2 linked regions of the Drosophila melanogaster genome follow. The protein of the gene in region 1 purifies or fractionates together with the protein of each later gene. This does not show direct contact. Each region holds a gene or a part of one and is shown in the gene's direction. Other genes may lie near its edges.

Region 1 (3,758 bases):
TTCGCACTTTCAGTCGAGATCGCTGGAAGTGGGCAATGTTCGATGGACTTTTGTTGAGTTCAGGGGAGGTGGGTGGTGGGTTAAAACTCCCCGATCGATAGACCACGCCCACTGGCAAGCCGCTAATACGATTTCGATGGATGCGTCTGTGTGAGTGATCGCTCTCATTGATCGCTCTCGTTTGCATGGGTAGCTCTCAGCCAGCTGCTCTGCATTGGTCAGCGAAACGAGAACATATATGCCGGGTATATAACTCGCCCGATGCACGGGAGATGGCCTTATAGTCCGGTCTCGTTTTCGCCCACGGCAAACGGGATCGGCTCGTTTATCTAAAACACCCGACGACGACTGCAGCACGATCCCGTTTTGCGCTGGTGTTAGTGGATTCCGCTCTCATGAGCACGCCGCTCTCTTTACCGGTTGTCTGTGTGAGTATACTGGATATAACGGTGCTCCGATTGTGTTAATCGAGCCAATCAAATGTGGTAACGAATTCTTCGAGTAGATATATTCACGAGAGTGTGTGCCCTGTGAGTGAAGCACTCAAAAGCCGCACAAAATGGTGAGCGATTGAGAAAAACAATCGAGTGCAATATTCAAAGTGAGCAACTGGAAAAATAATGATGTATTTGGAGGCAAATATTGTATATTGTATTGTATCTTATTTTTTTGAACTAATCAAGTATGTTATATTGTTAATTTACTATATACCACATTTGATCAGCTTGCCATAAATATTCCCCAGTTATATAACATTGGACACTAAATCAACAAAACTATGTTCCTTAACAATCGTTAAATTTATTAAATTATATTATATTTATCTAACGAATAAAATTGATTATAAATAAAGTAGAAAAAAGAAAAAGGAAATACTTAAGATTGGTCAAATTAAACAACACGCTAAATAGACTTAGATTACATCTTAAACGACTTATATTTGTTCGCAGTTACTAGGAATTTATTATTATATCTTAACCGAGAAATAAACTGTGCAATTTATATATATATTGCAAACACGACATGCATTTTTTTCTAAATTTGTTGGTGCCTTTTCTATAGTTATAGTTCGTATTTATGTTAGTAATTATACGTTTTTAATATATGTTCATATGCATTTACTCAGTTTCAGCTTGATCTGTGAATACAACTCAATAGCCGAATCGACTCGGATTTGAGTTAACATCACTCAAACAGCGGCTCACACAGACAGGCAATTTGAGTCAAAGTCGCTCTTTTAAGTCTCACTCTCGCTCTCTCTCTCCCTGGTTGTCTTTCGGTTGGGGGTTGAGAGTTCGGGTGTATCACCGTTAGAGAGAATCGGAATCGTCTTCTTCCTCACACACACAATCGCACCCCAGCTGGGCTCGAGTTTGTCGCTTTTGCAGTCTTTTGTTTTTGTTTCGGTTTCTGTTACTGCTTCTTCGACCAGTTTGTAGTTTTTGTTTATAGTAGTATCATCTCCCCGGCCAGAGATATTGTTGTTGCTACTTCTCTGGTAGCCGAAGTCTCAGCTCAGTGTGCTACCGAGCGTTCGTCGGATGATATTGCAAAGCATCTGAGTCGCCGAGTCGCAGCGGTGTGAGCACTTTGCAGAACTGCTTAACATCAGTCTTTAGTGATAGCTCGCGCTTCTTGCTCGCACGCTCGATCGCACGTCGCCGTCGTCGTTGCGTCGTCTTCGTCTTACGTCCCAGGCGTTACGTTGTTTTGGCCGCCGCTAAAAATCAACACATGCAAATTAAGATCAAAAAATTACTCAGTTAAATAAAATGAATTGTAACAATACTACGAATATGTATATGTAGTGCCAACTGAAATAGTAGAGTTCAGTCTGTAACACGTCACTGCAAAAAAACTCAAAAGCGGCAAACGAAAGCGGAAATAAAGAAATTTACGGCAAGTGCGCGTGCGCAGCCAGGAGTGCCCTCACACAAAGGTGTGGTCACTCCATAAAAACTCGCATTCAAAACACAGAAGGCGTAAAAACAGCACCAAATAAAGTCCCACGGAAATATCTCTAGCTAAATTAAAATTTAACCATACTGCAAAACTTTAAAACTTTGTATTACAATAAAAATTATACAAAATATTGCCTCCTTGTGATATATGTACACCCTGCTATATGCAAAAACACACATACTCAAACAACCCAAAAGATATATATTAAACATGCTTCACGCTCGCCTAAAGTTCTAAAAGTCAAGTGCAATTTGAGCAAAAACAGCAACAACTCTATACGCTCAAGTGACGTTTTATTGGCGCAAGGTGAACAAAAAATAATAGCAAGCAAATACACGAAAATACACAAAACCTTAAACGGAAAGTTCACAATGTTAGGAGACGCAGACCTTAAGTGCGCAACGAAATAGAAACACTAAGCAAATAAATTGGATTAACTTGATAGGCTGATCGGTCAGTAAAAGCAGGTAAGTTCAAAGGTTCAATGGCGCCCTCAAAAAAAAATATAGAAGAAACGGAACGAACGGGCTTTTTTGAGACACATCCATCATGCGGACATAAAAATGGGGATAGAGATGGGGCTTCGGAGTTGTAGATGGGGAACATGTGAATTTCATTAACGAATAGAATTCATAAAACAAAAAAAATCAAGATGAAGATGGCGACGCCAGATAACGCTTGACAATCCGACTAACTGACGAACTGTCTACGACTGTCGGCGGGGTTTGTATGATTTAATTATACAAACCATATACACACTCCCCTATATGACACTTATACGACAGCCCAGTAGGAGCTATAGCCCCCAGCTACGGTTTTGTGAGAAAGTTTTCTCTGGCCGATCTTTGTTGACCAGTGCACTTTTTAGTGTGGCCATAAAACATGGCTAGATCAACAACAACAACCATGCAAGGGCAAGGCAAATAAACTTTACGACTATATAACAGAATCAATGTAAGTCAAGTGCGAGCGAGATGGCCTGCACAGATATAGTCGCCGCACATGTTTGCTTTATAATGCAAATAGCGTGTATAGCTTTATTTGCCAGAATATTTGTTACAAAAATTCGAAAACGCAGGCGAAATCCATGGGAATGGCATTAACTGCGGCACTGAAAGAAATTATTGCGCTCAATAGCGAAGGAACTAAATGGAAAGTGGTGCTGCCTAATCCATCAAGGATCAAAAATAATTATTTTGATAAAATAATTCTTAGAATATTCAAGCTGGAAATTTGTGAACATTTTAGTTTGCTTGATGCTGCAGCTTAAATAATAATTTATATAATATTCTATTGATCAATGAGAAATGCCTATCATCTAACTATATTTACAAAGAAGTGACTTTTCAATTAGAAATAAAGTGATCATTCATTTTTGGAAATTCAGAAGATTTGTATCTAAAAAACTGATAATTTTTTAAAGTGCATTTTGCCCTGACTCGCTTGCAGGCAAATGAAGAATCTAACTTGGATTGCTTTTGCATGTGTCGCAAATATTGGCAGAACCTATATACTCGCACTTATGGCGAGTGCCTTGTAAGTTTGCCATGTTCTACAAATCGCAGAGTGCGCACTTATTCTAGTTAGCTGGGGCAATCTTCTTCACTGGTTGATTTAGCTGGCACCTTTTAAGATCACAGCTCTTTCCTGAGGCTGTTCCTTAGACCAACACTCTAAAAAAAGGTATGCACCTAATGCAAAATTGGATATTTGGATATTATTATATTACACTGAAGTCCCAACGATTTAGTACAAATTAAGGAAACTTAGAATATTATCCATATACTTAAACTATC
Region 2 (3,758 bases), on another chromosome or scaffold:
GCCGAGGAAAAAGCAGCGTGCCGACTGTGATGAAAACAAAAGAATATCTGAAAAATATAAATTAAAAACAGATAAAACAAAACTCAACAATTTGTGTAAGTAATTTAATTGTGTTTATAATAAAATATGTATGTAATCAAATTGGTGCTTGTTATTTATTATTTTTAATAATTATTTTTTTATTATATATGTATATATTTTTTTTACACAAAAAACCAGAAAAAAATTGGTGCAATACGCTTGAACAACTAATCTCAGCTTCATTCTCTAACATGTATCAAAAAAAGATGTTTACTGTATTTATGTAATTCTGTTACATTTAAGAACCGTCGTCAAAAAAGAATTACATATGTATGTCAAATGATGAATATTATATGAATTTATTTTTGCTGTGCAAAAGTGCAATCCGTTTGCGCGCAAAAAGAAACACAAATATATAGTGCAACTACAACAACAACAACTCAAGGCAAACCATTTAGTCAGCGCTGCGGCAGAGCGTGAGCAGCGATGCCGGCAGAAGACGGAAATACCAGGCGAACGATGACGAACGTAAAAACTACGCACCAAGCACAATAACAACACCAAAACACGCCACGAAAAACAAACAAACAAGCAAGTAGAGCGAGCGAGATACATTTGGAGAGAAATACGTAGTGGGGGGAGAGAGAGAGAGAGACAGAGATAGAAGTGGGAGAGCACCTGCCCCCAATGTACCGCCCACTCGGCTAACGAGCAAACAAAACTAAACAAAAATAAATAGAAACCGAAACAGAAACACAAGAAAGGCAGTGAAATAGAAAAGCAGGAAATATTTCGAACTTATGAAGTGCGGAGAAAAGAGAAGACTTAGAGCTTTGCATTTCTATTATTAATAAGTTTTCAGAAAATCCATTTGAGTGCACAGACAGTATTAACAAGGTAGTATCTAAAATAGAAATAGAGTTCTGGAATATTTTTAAAGCTATGTTTTTATGAAAATTACTTACTTTGCATACACACGTACACGTACATATTATTAAATAGGTATAATTATAATTATTTTTTATAATAATACTTTTACGAATTGGGTCAAATCTCACATTCATAAAATTATTTAATAAATAACTCAGCGATTTTAGTAATAAAAATCACAATTCTATTATGAAGTAAGACCGCATTCATTGAACTTTCTTTTGTTTAATTTTTTTGGGTCTTAGGAATTTTACTACGACGTAGTAGACATTTCGTGTCATTTTGGCGCGAAGCAGATTGTGATTATGGCTTTTTATTGTTATTTTTGTTATTTTGTCTCGACCTCGGTTCGTTCAACTCGTTTTTTTCACTGAACCGCTCCTGTCTACTTGTTTGTTTAATTTTTTGCCATTTCTGCTTCACATTTTATTTGTTTGTTTGACTCGGCTGCGCGCGTGTCGTTGTATGTGTGTGCGGCCCAAGAAGCGGTCCGCCACCCCTCCCCCTCTCCAGCCGACACCCCCTCACCAACCGACCATTCATCCCATCCTATCCCCCCCCCTTTTGTTGTTGTTGTTGCTGTCGTGTTTCTTTTGCTCTTTATCAAAACAACTGCGCTGTCGACGTCAACGCTGCGCCGCAGTCAGCCTTCACACAGCAGAGGTAACAAAGAAAAGCACGCATGATGCACATCAAATATATATCACTTACGTGATGAGAAAGATTACCAAACATTTAAGTAAACGGAGTTGTTCATTTAATAACAGACAATTTAATTAAGTTTTTGTAATTTTTGTATTTTTATGGCAACAACTGTTTTGGCAAAGAGAGCAAAAGCTTAGGTAAATACTATTTTCTTAGCCGCTCCTGTATGTCTGCCAATGTTTTTTTTTGGCGCGCACTGCACTGCTCTCTCTCTCTCCCGCAATAACTCTCTCCGCCGCTCTCTTAACCCCCCACCCACCCTCAACCGACGTTGTTGTTGCCTTAAGCATGACAAGGCACTGTAGAATTTCACAACAGGCCAAAGAGAACTTCATTACGATGTTCGTTTTGTTTTTCCACGAAACAACTGTTTACTCTGCCTCTGCTTCTTCTTCTGCGTCGGCAGCGCAGTCGGTGCGTTTACAAATCGATGCCAATAGGTTTGCGACTGTTTGCCCGAACAGTCGACGAAATCCGGTACTCGCGAGCGGTTGTAATTAACGGTAAAGCTGTAGTTGTTTCGATGAAATATTGCGCGCGTAACGGGAAAAATACGGAGCCGTAAAAGCGCAACAGCGCCTTTGAAATAGCGGTAAATATCGACAGTACGTGTGTTTTTTGCGTGAAGGATGTTTGTTTTCGTCAGAGCCTCCTTTTTGCTTGCCAAACAAATAACGGAGAAGTGATAGCAGAAACCAAAAATATCGAATTATTTTCTAATTCAAACGGTATTTATGGACGGGAATATCAGTGTGAAATATTATTCCCTTTTTTAGAAAAGCGGCGAAAACTGTAATGTACGCAATTAAGTTATTATCAGCATAATTCTTTTAAAGGGCATAATTAAAATAAAGGTGCATAAAAATGAATGTAGTTCAAAACTGTGTAAACGTATCAATTAAATATTAATGAAAACATCACATATGTACTTAAAAATTTAAAAAAAATTTAAGTATGGATGTTACCTAAAATATAAGAAACCTACTTTCAAATTGTGAGACAAAAATAATTGTTTACGAATGGAAAAATCAAGTAATCATTGTGAAACTTAAACTTTAAAAATATTTTCAAAAATATTTTTTAAATAAAAACCATGTATCGAAATACATCAAATATGTTGAAACCCCTGGAAAACCTTGTGCAGCTTCGAAAACAAATATTTATGTTGGTTTAATAAAGAAAGAAACACCCCTAATAAGTCAACAAATATTTAACAAAAAGTGTTTTTCAAATTTATTTCAAAACACATATAGCATGTGCGTTCGCGAGTGTGTCTGCGTTCGATTGTAAATTGTTTTTTATTTCATTCCGCCCGCCTTGAAATGTATTTTTAAGTTTCTGTGCTCAATTTCGCGTTGGATGTTGTTTACTTTTTGCGTTGTTTAATTTGTTTTGGCCTGTGTTGTGTTTCTCTCCCTGAGTTTCTTCTTTATTCAAAATGACAAAAGGCGAAAACAAACTAAATTGTGGATAACATGGATTTTATGCAAATTCAACGTTTTCTGATTCAGACCTTTATTTCGGCAGCGCTGTTAAATGAATTCAAAATGGTCGAAGAAATCAGTCAAATAAAGCGTGAAGTATCAAAAAATCTGTGCAATCAAAATGCTTCGTTTTAAGATCAATTAGATTATATAACTCTCAATATTAAAATCCGAAGCAAACACACTACACTACAGAAATTCAGCAAAGTTCAGAAACAATTAAAGTAAAATCAAGAAGTTATGAACAACACACCTTATTTATAAATAAACATCCAATAAAATGGCAACCTAAGCATTTCCGTCCTGACTCACATTACAAGACAATAAAAACGGTGACATTTAGAAATTCCTGATAAATTCTCCATACAGTCGCACATTTTCTTGGTAATCAAATAACAAATCAAAGCTTCGAGACATGCAAATTAATTTTGAACGCAGAAAAACCCAAATTCTACTATTCACAATCAGTAAACAACAAGAGTACAAATATAAGACCGCAGAATTCCAAGAAAATCCCTCAAAACTGTGCTACTTAAAAATACCACGAGGTCGCAAACGAAATGCAAGGAAAAAACAAAAAAAAAACAGCCAAAATGGCATTTAGAGTATTTCCAGCTT

The links.
Region 2: the proteins of knrl (region 1) and CG5953 purify together in Drosophila melanogaster (affinity purification with mass spectrometry, with the first as the bait; one large-scale study listed by BioGRID). This does not show direct contact.

Annotation. Positions count from the first base shown.
Region 1 is NT_037436.4:20,618,413-20,622,170, reverse strand, and holds the start of knrl (knirps-like), read left to right. Parts: upstream 1-1,511; 5' UTR 1,512-2,429; intron 2,430-3,758.
Region 2 is NT_033779.5:16,531,211-16,534,968, reverse strand, and holds the start of CG5953 (uncharacterized protein), read left to right. Parts: upstream 1-2,091; 5' UTR 2,092-2,248; exon of another isoform or gene 2,249-2,510; intron 2,511-3,758.